Linked DNA regions of Tribolium castaneum. The protein of the gene in region 1 purifies or fractionates together with the protein of each later gene. This does not show direct contact. Links are inferred from orthologs where the notes say so. Each region holds a gene or a part of one and is shown in the gene's direction. Other genes may lie near its edges.

The links. Proteins that work in one complex are often made in the same cells at the same time.
Region 2: the proteins of dpa (region 1) and polo purify together in Homo sapiens (affinity purification with mass spectrometry; 3 studies listed by BioGRID and IntAct, with this or other methods). This does not show direct contact. The link is inferred for Tribolium castaneum from reciprocal best matches to the Homo sapiens genes MCM4 and PLK1.
Region 3: the proteins of dpa (region 1) and Ssrp purify together in Homo sapiens (affinity purification with mass spectrometry; 4 studies listed by BioGRID and IntAct, counting the BioPlex papers as one, with this or other methods). This does not show direct contact. The link is inferred for Tribolium castaneum from reciprocal best matches to the Homo sapiens genes MCM4 and SSRP1.

The regions. Positions count from the first base shown.
Region 1 is NC_087396.1:22,083,645-22,088,189, reverse strand, and holds the start of dpa (DNA replication licensing factor MCM4), read left to right. Parts: upstream 1-1,423; 5' UTR 1,424-1,581; intron 1,582-1,627; coding exon 1,628-2,074; intron 2,075-2,124; coding exon 2,125-2,322; intron 2,323-2,501; coding exon 2,502-2,736; intron 2,737-2,792; coding exon 2,793-3,035; intron 3,036-3,386; coding exon 3,387-3,615; intron 3,616-3,666; coding exon 3,667-4,126; intron 4,127-4,179; coding exon 4,180-4,458; intron 4,459-4,504; coding exon 4,505-4,545. UniProt on the Homo sapiens protein: Acts as a component of the MCM2-7 complex (MCM complex) which is the replicative helicase essential for 'once per cell cycle' DNA replication initiation and elongation in eukaryotic cells.
Region 2 is NC_087398.1:11,007,766-11,012,259, reverse strand, and holds the start of polo (serine/threonine-protein kinase polo), read left to right. Parts: upstream 1-1,452; 5' UTR 1,453-1,587; coding exon 1,588-1,680; intron 1,681-1,733; coding exon 1,734-1,958; intron 1,959-4,494. UniProt on the Homo sapiens protein: Serine/threonine-protein kinase that performs several important functions throughout M phase of the cell cycle, including the regulation of centrosome maturation and spindle assembly, the removal of cohesins from chromosome arms, the inactivation of anaphase-promoting complex/cyclosome (APC/C) inhibitors, and the regulation of mitotic exit and cytokinesis.
Region 3 is NC_087395.1:25,956,966-25,961,588, reverse strand, and holds Ssrp (FACT complex subunit Ssrp1), read left to right. Parts: upstream 1-1,581; 5' UTR 1,582-1,741; coding exon 1,742-1,792; intron 1,793-1,841; coding exon 1,842-2,243; intron 2,244-2,455; coding exon 2,456-2,634; intron 2,635-2,682; coding exon 2,683-2,922; intron 2,923-2,976; coding exon 2,977-3,397; intron 3,398-3,447; coding exon 3,448-4,293; 3' UTR 4,294-4,322; downstream 4,323-4,623. Other genes in the region: uncharacterized protein LOC661743, read right to left, coding at 590-627; tRNA pseudouridine synthase-like 1, read left to right, coding at 4,531-4,598. UniProt on the Homo sapiens protein: Component of the FACT complex, a general chromatin factor that acts to reorganize nucleosomes. The FACT complex is involved in multiple processes that require DNA as a template such as mRNA elongation, DNA replication and DNA repair.

The DNA.
Region 1 (4,545 bases):
ACTTCCCTGTAAACGCTGCCAAAGACAGGGTTCCAATAATTGTTTTAAGTATTCTTATATCTACCAACGAAATTGTACCAACAGGCTAAATTCACTGGGAACAAAGGGTTTACTTTTTTTCTTCCGGGAATTATTTACGCTTGGCAAAATTAACATATCTTGGAAGGTTTACGTGCTGTGAGGGTGGGGTTTCTTATTTTTTATTCGCTGGTGTACGTCGTCGCGAGTGGTTGTAAAAAAGATAAACTTATGAAAATGTTACTAGCTTCAAGGAAATCATTGTTGTATAGGCCGTTTTTGTCAAATGCGTTTTGCCTACTGAAAGTTTTTGTATTCGCTTCATTTATACGAGTGTTATTTTTGTATATTTTGTACATAAACCTAGGTAATGAAAATAAATGTGATAATTATAAATTATCTGAAGGATACGTCGATGTATCATTTTTTTCAAAAATAAATGCCAAGTCTGTTACTTAAATACGACTTTTTATATATCGTATAAGAGATTATATCAGAATTTGTACATGTTGTATATAACTGTATATAAATAACTATTTTGCCTTGTAAATATTACCTACCTTTAATTAAATCGAGTGTTCACGACTACATACCTACATTTTTTGTAATTATTTGAAGGGTGTAATGGTTATTCGTTATCCAATCAAATTTCATCTGTGAAAATTTAAATATAAATGTATTGAAAAAACAATGTTTTATTTCACCCATACCAATTTTTTTTACCTTCCACAAATTTTAGCAAAATAATGGTATGTGCCTGATGAAATTTATTACATAACATTTTGATATTTTACTATTTAATGGTAAAAATCATTTTCTCTGAATAAAATTTTATTAACTTAGTAAGTAGTCCGTTCACTGTAGAATTACACGTTCGTAATGTTGGTTGCATACCATTCATTTTTTCTATGTAGGGTTAAATTCATGATAAAAAATTCAATTTTGGGGCCTTATATTGCTATCTTTATTGTTATATCTTTAATAGAAAGGTTTAAATGCTGTAGTGCATAAGATGCATAAGATTTTCACAATGTCCGAATTTGAGAAATACGGGGAGCTCAAGCACAAGAACATCAAAATTTTGACCTTAAATTAATAACAAAATGTGAAACCTACCTTTTTCTCGATCTGGAACACACCCAACACCAATTCTGCACGATTTTTCACCAAAAAAAGTCTTAAGCAACAAACACCAACAAATTTTCACAACAAACAATAAAGCCACTTGATTTTTAAAACAAAATTCTGTGCGCATGCGGCTTTGTAGCTAAGGCAACTCCAAGCAGCCTTGAAAATAATGTAATAACGTAAACTTTATAAAATTCGGTTTTAACAGAATTTTTATCTACAAATCAACATTGTTACAAAGTTTTAATTTTACAAACAATGGGGTAAACAATCATTAAAACCACGTTGAAACTTTAGCCACTATTAACAAAGCGCGCGTCATCTGCAACCTCTTCCACGAACTACTTAGCGTTTTCCCGCCTTTTTTACAGCAACAACAGTTGGTTAATTGTGTAAAAAAACATTATCAACACATTTTTTGTTGTTTTATTTACGGTAAGTGATTAAATCAGCGATAACTCCACCTAAAAACCCAAATTAGATGTCTTCCCCAGCCCCCCATCGTACCCCTCGCGCAAACCGCGACGATGATGCGCCCACTCCTCGGGGACGCAGACCTGCCGGGGGTCAAACCCCTCGAGGTCACCGCACCCCAGCTCGTGAGGACCCTCCCCAAACCCCATCTCGGACCCCCAGACGGAACCCAACTCCTGCCAAAAGCGACACCATTGATACCCCAATGCGTTGGGGCGGAGCCCGACGTGATTTGGACGCCGACGGCGGGGAAATCCCCTCGTCTCCGGCTGGGGTCACAAGCCCACCGGTGGCAATGAGCGAGATTGATTTATCTTCGCCACTTAATTACGGGACTCCTTGCTCTTTGGGGTCCATCAGGACCCCCAGATCGGGGATTAGGGGGACCCCAATTAGGATGCGGCCCGATGTGAGGACTGATCGGAGGATGAGACAAGTTAATGTCGGAGGAGAGGTTCAACAACTGTTTCAAAAATTGAGCTCGTTTTGACTCGATTTTTTTAGTTGGATCCGGTTGCTGAGGGTGATGAGGGCAGTACAGCCCCGCATTTGGTCATTTGGGGCACTAATGTCTCAGTTGCTGAATGTAAAGAGAAGTTCAAACAGTTTGTTTTGCGGTTTATTGATCCAAATGCGGAAGAAGATGAAAGAACTGATGATATGAATGTTAACGAACCCTTGTATTTTCAAAAATTGGACGAGGTGCGAACCTTATCATGATCAAAGAGGCGTTGACTTTGTTATTACGTTGGCAATGCTATCAGATTTAAGCGTCAGACAAATTTAAAAAAAACAATCGTATTTGTCTTTTTTATCTGTTGCCAACTTAATTTCAAAATCATTGATCACAAACTTGATCGTGTAGCAATTATTTTTCGTAGATAAACACCCTCGAAGAGCCGTTTTTGAACGTCAACTGTTCTCACATTGAGACTTTTGACGCCAATTTATACCGCCAATTGGTTTCGTATCCTCAAGAAGTCATTCCAATTTTTGACATGATGATCAACGAAATGTTTTACGAGCGTTATCCTGCTGCTGAATTGGAGCACCAGATTCAAGTCCGGCCCTTCAATGCGGAAAAAACACGAAATATGAGGGCCCTGAACCCTGAAGGTTAAATTCCTTCCAAAAAAAAATCTTTTAATATAAAATTTTATTTTTTTGCACAGATATTGATCAGTTGATCACAATCACTGGCATGGTCATCCGTACATCGAATTTAATGCCTGAGATGAGAGAGGCATTTTTCAAATGTATAGTTTGTAACTTTACAACGACTGTGGAAATTGACAGGGGGCGCATTACCGAACCCACTCTTTGCACCAGTTGTAACACCAATCACTGCTTTACTTTGGTCCACAATCGGTCGCAGTTCACCGACAAACAGATGATCAAATTGCAGGAATCCCCGGGTATTTTTTTAATTTATGTTTTCTCCTCGGATTTATTTTTATTTTTTATTCTTAACCATTCTACAAGATGATCCCAGTTTATCTTCATCCATGATATTTCTTCTTTTCTAATTTATTTCAACTTTTTTATATTTTACACTGAAAAAAATTGTTTGAACTATAAGAAAAAATTTATTTTTGTCGCCAACCTCGGGAAGAATTGAAGATTTTTTATTATCTATCTTCTATTTAATCCACACTTAACACTTACCCACTTAACTAAACGTTACAGTTACATAAAAAAAACGTTTTCTAGTTAAATCATAAGCACAATTTTTTATTTTTTTTTATTATTATAATGTTTTTGGTCAGACGACATGCCTGCGGGCCAAACCCCGCACACCGTCGTCCTCTTCGCCCACAACGACCTGGTGGACGCCGTCCAACCGGGCGACAGGGTCACCGTAACGGGGATTTACCGAGCGCAACCCCTTCAAGTGAACCCCCGACAACGCAACCTTCGCGCGGTTTACAAAACACACATTGACGTCCTCCACTTCCGTAAAATCGACACGAAACGCTTATACGAAGAGGAGGACGGGTAAAAACACCACAGTGAAAAAATAACTCACTTCCCCTCTTATTCTTCCAGCAAAGACCATCGTTTTCCACCCGAACGGATCGAATTATTACAACTCCTTTCAGAAAAAGAGGATATTTACGAACGGCTAGCTCACGCTTTAGCGCCGTCGATTTACGAAAACGCCGACGTCAAAAAAGGGATTCTCTTACAACTGTTTGGCGGAACGAAGAAAAAATTTGTTACGTCAGGTCGTACGAATTTTCGGTCCGAAATCAATATTTTGCTGTGTGGAGATCCGGGAACCTCCAAGTCACAACTTTTACAATACGTTTATAATTTGGTTCCCCGAAGTCAGTACACTTCAGGGAAAGGCTCCTCAGCTGTTGGTTTAACAGCCTATGTGACCAAAGACACCGAGACTAGACAGTTGGTTCTGCAAACGGGGGCCCTAGTTTTGGCCGACAACGGCATCTGTTGTATCGACGAGTTCGACAAAATGAACGACTCGACTCGCAGTGTCTTGCACGAGGCGAGTTGAGAATTGTTTAGCAATTGATCAAAATTTAAACAGAGTTTTTACAGGTGATGGAACAACAGACTTTGAGCATAGCCAAGGCTGGAATAATCTGCCAGTTAAACGCCCGGACTTCAATTCTCGCGGCCGCAAACCCGTCCGAATCTCAATGGAACAAAAATAAAACCATAATCGAAAACGTGCAACTACCACACACTCTTTTATCGCGCTTTGACCTAATTTTTCTGATTTTGGACCCCCAAAGCGAGCTTTTCGACCGAAAATTAGCCTCGCATTTGGTCTCACTCTACCACAAGGCGCCGCAGCAAAACGATGACGAGATTCTGGTACACTTACCTTGATGTGCTTCAATCATTACAATTTTTTCTCTAGGACATGTCGATTCTTCGTGATTATTTGGCGTACGCCAAGGA
Region 2 (4,494 bases), on another chromosome or scaffold:
AACTTCAAACACCCATAACTAAAAATTTTCAAATGAAATGCCATCATTTTTTCCTATACTTTTGTTTAACAGTTTTCATGCGGATTTTTTGTTGATATTGTATGTAGGGATGTAGGTAAATGAAATTATGGAATCAAAGTTTTTCAAATCCAAATTCAATGAATTCATTTTGTTTTAACGGAAAGGAAAACAAAATTTTGAACAGAATTTATCGTTTATTCAATGAAATGTTTCTTTGTCAAACTGCGCAAAAATATCTGTGGCTAGCAATGTCAAAAAAATTAACATAACTTGAAAATTATCACAAATAAGCATAAGAAATGCCAACACAGATCGTTGCAGAATTAAATTTTCTTCTATTTAGTGAAATAAAAACTTATAGCATGTAGAAGCTGTCCAAAAATAACGTTAAGATTTTGGATTTTGTAAACTTTTTTGAACACACTGAAGGAAAGATTTAGGCTTTGTTTTTGATTGGCCAAATACTGTTTCTAAAATTCTAAAAATAGCAGAATTTACGATTATTGAAGTGAAAGGTGCAAATCCAAAAATTTCCAAAAAATTCTGATTATTTAGAAAATAGCTAAATTTAGGAATAGGAAAAAGCTAATAAAAAAGTTCATAGCGATTTTCGATACAATCGGAAGTGCCGCCATTTTGAAAATATTTTCAATCAATGAGCTATGGCTCTAGGCTAATTTTCAGATAAATGTTATTATCAAAACTTTCAGTACTTTTTTCAATACTCCGAAACTTAGTTTAGACAGAACACTTTGTATTCGTCAAACATTTTCTCGTTTATTATTAAACTCTAATAAAAATAAGTCAAAATAAATTTCCCGTGTGCCTTTTTTTTTCCTCGAAAACCAAGTGCAGTAATAATAATTGCCAGATTTATTTTTTTGTGAAAAAACAGTGTTCTCATAAATCATACACATTCGATGTTGCATAACAGATGACGCTTTGCAGTTTTGACTTCCCCAAAAATAAAAATACGTACATGTTTATGGTGTTTTTGAAAAAGTGTAGACAACGCAAAGTTAAAATTTTATATTTTATAAATTTTTATAAAACGTATAAAATTTGTCTAGGAAGAACAAGAATTTTAGGAGTAGGCCTTCGCCCTGCCTGAATGCGCGGCCTACAGTCCTGTATAAATTTCTGTTTAGTTTTTTTTTAATATTAATTGTTAGGTTGTTAGCTAGGCAACGCCCTCAGCAGAAGCATTTTGTGAGTTGCATAACACATAAATCAATGTTTTGATAGACTAAATTTAAAATACGGTCAAGATCAGCGTTTGGCCCAATTTTTGATCGACCAAACCAAAGTTGTTGAGTCAATATAAACCACTTTGTGTATTTTATTGTGGTCTATTTTTGTTTGGTGGTTAGAGATCGCGTTCTGCAAGTAGTCACTTCCGTTGACAATTCTTTTTTCCCCACCATTTTCCTGTCCAATCAGCCAATCAGCTGCCGGCGTTTGAAATCTTCTCAACTGCCAAAAGTTTTTCAAGCCGTGGTGGATGCTTGCCGTAAAAACCCAACCAAACGCAATAACTGTGAATAAAACTAGGAGTAATTAGTGAAAATGTCGAAAGTGGACGATTATGTCGTAGTTCCCGACTATATATACGACGAGAACACGAAAATTAGGTACAAAAAGGGGCAGTTCTTCGGCAAGGTTAGTGTTGTTTTTGTCGATGGGTTCATGTGATAGTGGCCGTTTTTTCTTAGGGCGGATTTGCAAAATGCTACGAAATTACGAATGTGGCCAACAGCCAAACGTTCGCCGGGAAAGTCGTCTCGAAAAAGCTGATAGTCAAGGAAAACCAGAAGGAGAAAATGACTCAGGAGATACAGATACACAAGTCGTTGAAACACAAAAATATTGTCGGTTTTTATAGTTTTTTCGAGGATACGGACAATATTTATATAGTTTTGGAGCTGTGCAGAAAGCGGGTGAGTTTTTGGCCCTTTAAACTGCGTCTGTTTCCTGGTTGTTATCGCTGCTCACTCTGTATTATGGGAAACTATAATATTGATAGTTTTATCACCAAAACTAATATTTAAACTGATGTCTGTCATGGCCAATGGTTGCACAAACAAAGAGCTAAATTAATTGGTAAATTAAACAACAGTCCACCTCTTTAAGACACTGTAGTTTGTATAATTAATTATTCATGTTGGTATCACTTGTGGCGCTTATACTTGGGTTTCTAAGTTAGGGAGGTAGTTCTAACTACAGTTTCCAGGTTTATTAATTTCAAAACCTCTTTTGACTCAAGTCGTAATGGAAAAGATTGTAGCAAAAAAATTATATTAAAATACCATTTTTATTGTACATAAATAAGAAGGGTAAATTATGAATGGGGGCTATGATGGGGGCTCGTAGATGACTTTGGTACCTTAGGCCCTAGTTGGTATTCCTTAAAACCTTTGATAAATTTACAAGTAAACAAAGTGCTTGCCAAAGTTTTTTGGAAAATATTTCAGAAAGCAAACACAGTTATTGATAAAATTGTGTTACTCTTATCTTTTGAGCTTCCTAGCTGAAAAATCATGAAATTAAAGCGAAATTTATTTAATTTAGCTTATTTTATTCGATTTTGCTCGTTTTTTTCCAAGCCAGTAAACACGTGTTTGAACTTACATTCTTAGTTTCTTGTAAAAATCACTAAATTTACTGAAACATTTTTTTTCCTTTTCCATTTACAGCCAATAAAGGAATTATCCCTGAAAATTGTGTACACGAGATAAAAACTAAGTTTTTTTTTTAGAAAAATTTACGCGAAAATGTGATTATTTCAACCAGAGATTCATTTATTGCACAAGAACTTTTTACAACAATAAATCTTAATCAAAAGTAATGTTATTTCTGCCTGTTTTTGAGCATTTAAGCATGTTTTAGAGCTAAAACCTGTTTTTTGAGACCGAAAAATTACCAGTTTGAATCCAAAATTATTTCGTTTTTTTTTTTTTCACCAGCAACGCAAATTTTTCGCGAAATCTCTTAAAAACAAGTCGAAAAGTCACCCAAAACATATACTAAAATGGGTGTTATTTTAGTGTTCTTCGACTTTCATTGAGTTAAAAATTAAGTTTTTTTCAAAAAATATACCTAAAAGTGGATGAAAATTCACCGAATATATCGAAATTTTTATTTTATATTTTTTAGTTCGAGGCTGATTTATTTGGAATTGATGTCAGTTTTTTTCGATTTATCACGTTTTTGGGCGAAATTTCATCAATAGTAAGCTTAAAAGATAAAAGTTTGGTCGCAAAGTGTGTTATTTTTATATTTTCTAAGCAAGTGTTTGGAGTTTCTTATGAATTTTCTAAATTTAGCTGAGTAAAATATTCTTTTTTCTTTTCCAAATGGTATTTTGTAATGAACAAACCGAAATTTCACCAAGTCACACTGAAAATTGTGTGAATTCTGAGTTTTTCGAATATTTAAACATGTTTTGAGATATTAACTAAATTTTTTTTAGAAAAATTTTGCTAAAGGTAGGTAAAAATTAGAATATTTTAACCAGAGATTCAATTATTAATTAATACTCAAAAATTTTTTACAACAATAAATTCTGATCAAAAATAACGTTATTTCTGCCTTTCTTGAGTATTTAGACATGTTTTAGGGCTAAAATCTCTATTTTTTTTGCTAGAAGTGACCGAAAATTAAAAATTTAAATCTAAAATTATTTCGTTTTGTCTTTTTTTAGCACGTTTAAAAAAACAGACCGAAAAGTCACCTAATTTTACTAAAATGGGTGTTACTTTAGTATTCTTCAACTCTTGAGTTTTTTTTTTTTTTCGAAAAATTTACCGAGAAATGGATGAAACATCTCCGAATTAGATCAAAATTGAAGTTGTCTTATATTTTTCTAAGTTCAGACTGATTTACTTTGCTAGAACTTGTTAAAAGACTCGTAAAAATCACAAAATAAATAGACATTGAGTTTTTTTCGATTTATCGCGTTTTTTAGCAAAATTTTGTTATAATAGGCCGATAAACCACAGCATTTAGTCGAAAAGCATGTTGTGTTTGCGAGTGGTTGACACCAGTGGCGTATCCACAGGGGTTCCGTGGAACCCGGGCCCGGAGCCTAAAAGGGCCCGCAAGCTTCAAGAGCTCTTCGATTCAAATTTTAATGAAAAAAATTGTTTCTAAATTTATCCCAGGCAATAGGCGATTGTTGTAAAGTATAGTCTGCAATTGTAAAGCGATACGGTCTAAATAATACTACGAATTCATAAAAATGTCTACGTTAGTCGAAGCATTAATTGACAGAACGTGTTACAAATTCACAACAAAATGTTAAATAAAAAAGTCACCAACGATAAGGGCACAAAAGGTTTATTTTACCTACAACCAATTAAATTATATCCAATTATAATCAGCTCGGATTTTGTTATTCTCATTTAGTTCTTTAAAGAGTGTTGGTTAAGTGAAGATGTAAATTGTCGTACTTTATTTTAACAATTTATTTACCTA
Region 3 (4,623 bases), on another chromosome or scaffold:
GGTCAAGTCTTGCATTTATGATTAATTAAATTTTAACAAAAGTCGATTTTATTCAATGAGCTATTTTTAGCAACATTCACATTCTTCACGCCATGACCCCCAATATTTACTTTCTTTGTATCTCATAAATTTCATCCTACTTTATTTAAAGACTCCCACTGAGCCACCCTTTGGACTCATCCAATATACTCATACTTTCGACGAATTAGCTATAATTCAGCAAATATCTTATCACTTTATCAATTTATCGTTTCCTCTAACCCGAATTTCCTGGATTTTTTTCCTCAAAAACGTAAAAATTAGCTAGGAAAAAGAGTGGTATATAGGTTTTTGGTGGAGATTGAGGTTAGTTTGCCCGGATCGATAAGATATCAACAGTGGAACAGCTGAGCATCGCGGAGGGGATTGCCAGGCTACCGGGATCAATAACAATAATAAACCAAACAATTGCAAAACGGAAAAACGGCCTACTTTTCATCCACATGCATAAAAGATTTGGCAAAAATTTACAAACGCGCCTTCTCCTCGTGGTCTATTTTTACAGAGGTGTTAAAAAGCGTCAAGGTCGCCATTTCTCAAAATATCTCACCTTTTGGGTTTCCAACGTCGCTTTAAGACGCCCAGCATTTTCCAAACTACATACAAGACGAGCAAATGGAAGAGGAGAATTTTTCAGGTCACAAAACAGCACTCGTTGCCATTCGCGCGTTTTGTTTTTTTCTTACATAGCGAATGAAAACGTTCGTAAAACTGAAACGCGCTGAATTTTTTTTTCAGCAACTCGCGTTATTACGAGACACTTTACACGACCACTGCACTCGTCGAGTGCCTCTCCTGAAATCAAGATGCTGATGCTCAAAATAAACAAGTTGGGGTCATATGACCGGAATGGCGGCACCGGATTGGCGGATCCGGTGAATGCCGGGCTTTGACAGCCAACTCCGGTATTGCTGTCATTGACGGAAGGAAAAAAGTCATCAACCTGCGATTTTGCCCATTCAAAGCGGAGAAAGGAGTTTTTTAATAATTATTTAAAATATCGTCGTTTTTTATATATTTTTCGGTCCACGCACCTACCATTTTATAAATATTTGAGCACCCATGATTTTATTGATTTGGTTTAATAGAATTTCCAAAAAAAAATCCAAAACCGCGTCAACATTTACGATAATTTCCAAACTTTCAGATAAAAGCGACCACAAATAACTTTTTCTTCATTTTGACTGTTTGTGGTTTCCAGTCGGATTATTTGCGACCACAAGAGCATTTTTTATGTCAAGTGACATTATTATTGAAACTGAATACGCTTTATGCAAAGTAACTCAAGTCGGGCAGAATTTTATTACACCTCATAAATTTAAAAAGTTGTATTTTGGTTTCAGAATGAAAAGAACTAATTTTTGGTTGTGGGCAAAAATAAAACAAAATAAATTTAGCCCTCTCGTTTATTTGTTTATTACAATGAATACTAAGTAATTTACATTTGTAATTACAATAAAATAACAATTTTGAATTTGTAATTTTTTTTAATTGCGTAACGCTGCCAACTTATTTCTAGTGGTTTCGCGGGCTTGTTGTGGCAGCCTGACTTCAAGGCCGAAGTTGCGTCAAATGGCGGCATAACCTGTAAAAAAAATCCAAACAAAAAGAAACACCACAAAAAATACTTGAGCTAAGTTTTTGTGTTTTTATATTGTTTTTTTCGTAAATTAAACCAAACTTTGAGTGAATTTTCCCCAAGATGGATTTCCTGGAATATTCGGACATCTCTGCCGAAGTCAAAGGCTGCATGGTACGTTAGCCCCCATTCCCCCAATTCCCCCTCAATTTCCTCGTTTCAGACCGGCGGTAAACTCAAAATGACCGACCAAAACATCATTTTCAAAAACTCGAAGACGGGCAAAGTCGAGTCAATTTCGGCGTCCGATTTCGAGGCAGTCAATTTCCAGAACTTTGCCGGTTCGTTGGGGATCCGCGTGTTCCTCAAGAACGGCACTTTGCACCGATTTGTCGGGTTTAAGGACGCGGAAAAGGAACGTATCGCCAAATTCTTCTCGAACACTTACAAAATCGACATGCTGGAGAAGGAGTTGAGTCTCAAGGGCTGGAACTGGGGCACAGCCAAGTTCAACGGCTCGGTTTTGAGCTTCGAGGTGGGACATAACAGCGCTTTCGAGATTCCGCTCAATCATGTGTCTCAATGTACGGCGGGGAAGAATGAAATCACGATGGAGTTTCATCAGGTGGGAAGGGGGCGCTTATTTTTATTTCAAACTTTTTACTTTTACCAAGGTTTTAAACACGTTTCTCAGCTTTTTTCTTAAAATTTCGTTAAAACATAACAAAATCACCAAATTGTTTTTAACTGTTACGTTCGAAATTACACGTTTTTTGTTAGAAATCAAACTTTTTTCCCCGTTTTCTGGCCGTTTTGTCAAAAACTAATCGATTTTAGAATGATGACGCCCCTGTAAGCCTCATGGAAATGCGATTTTTCATTCCTTCAAACGAATTAGCCGGAGACGTGGACCCAGTTGAAGCCTTCCAAAAACAAGTCATGAAGAAGGCTTCGGTTATCAGTGTCTCAGGCGACGCTATTGCGATATTTCGGGAGATTCAGTGTCTCACACCACGGTTGGTTTGAAAAACCACAAATAAATTTCCCTAAGAATTTTTTTCTAGTGGTCGTTACGATATTAAAATTTTCCAAACGTTTTTCCAATTGCATGGAAAAACATTCGATTATAAAATCCCAATGTCGACAGTCTTGCGTTTGTTTCTCCTTCCACACAAAGACAACCGGCAGATGTTTTTCGTAGTGAGTCTTGATCCACCCATCAAACAGGGCCAAACCAGGTATCATTTTTTGGTCTTGTTATTTGGTCAAGAAGAGGAGACTTCGATCGAATTACCCTTTACCGAGTAATTAATTAATTAATTATTAGGCCAAAATTTTTTCCTAATTAATAATTCCAGTGAGGAACTCAAGGACAAGTATGAGGGCAAGCTGGATAAGGAGTTATCAGGCCCCACTTACGAGGTCTTAGGCAAAGTCATGAAGGTTATAATTAATCGAAAACTGACCGGCCCGGGGGGCTTTGTCGGGCATTCAGGGACCCCAGCTATCGGCTGTTCGTTCAAGGCAGCCGCTGGTTACTTGTACCCCCTTGAACGGGGCTTCATGTACGTCCACAAGCCCCCAATTCACATTCGTTTCGAGGAAGTGGCTTCTGTGAATTTCGCCCGAGGTGGGGGAAGTACCCGTTCGTTTGATTTCGAAATTGAGCTCAAATCCGGGACTGTCCACACCTTTAGCAGCATTGAGAAGGAAGAATACAACAAATTGTTTGATTTCATTACCACCAAGAAACTGAATATCAAAAATCGGGGCAAAAACGTAACAATTTCACTCGTTTTGGTTTGGTTTAATTTGATTGGTTCTTTCAGGATAAAGGGGGCTATAATGACGATTTTGGCGATTCGGATAATGAGGCGGCCCCTGATGCCTACTTGGAGAGGGTTAAGGCCGAGGCACAAGAACGTGATGAAGATGATGACGATGGTCCAAGTGAAGATGAGAGTACTGATGAAGATTTCAAGCCAACTCAGGATGAGAGTGACGTTGCTGAAGAGTTTGATTCAAGTCCGAGCTCAACGTCGTCCGAAGACGAAGAGAAAGGTTCCGGTGATGAACATAAGAAGAAGCACAAAAAAGAGAAGAAGGAGAAGAAAGAAAAGAAGAAACCGGCTAAGACAGTGTCGGAGAAACCGCGCCAAAAGCGGGCCAAGAAATCAAAGGACGAAAATAAACCGAAAAGACCATCGACGGCGTTCATGCTATGGTTAAATGAGATGAGGGATAAAATCAAGGCAGATAATCCCGGGATTAAAATCACCGAAATTGCAAAGAAAGGTGGAGAGATGTGGAAGGAATTGAAGGATAAGTCTGAGTGGGAGGGGAAAGCGGCCAAAGCCAAAGAGGAGTACAACAAGGCCATGAAGGAGTATGAAGCTTCAGGGGGTTCAAAATCGGAAGATAAAAAGTCAAGTGAGAAAAAAGCACCAGCAAAGAAGAAAACCTCTTCTATGCCTTCCGTCAAACCCAGTCAAGTCAAAAGTCGGGAATTTATCGAAGACGACGACTCGAGTAGCGACAGTGATGATGATAAAGGCAAGAAAAGGAAGGGTTCCGATAGCGAACGCGGAAAACCCAAAGACAAGAAAAAGAAGAATAAATCCGAAAGCGAGGAGAGCACACCCGCGTCAAGTGACGCCAATTCCGATAGCGATTAAGTTTCTATTTAATAAATATGTTTAACAAACACCCGGCTTTATTTATTACATAACCTTAATCTTACATAACCTTAATTTCGCAAAAAACGCTATAATCGGCGCAAATTACATTGAATCGCCCTTTGATGCTTACTGTGCATGTGGGGGCCCCTTGCTTGTTTTAATTCGAGATATAAATGGGAAACAGCACGTTATTTACCATTATTTTTGTGACATAACCTCGCTTTAATAACAGCGATGTATTTCACGAAAATGGCTCTGAATCGCTACTTGCTCCACTTTTCGTACATCGGGACCCCTTTCATGTATTTGCTTGCTTCAGTCACGGTC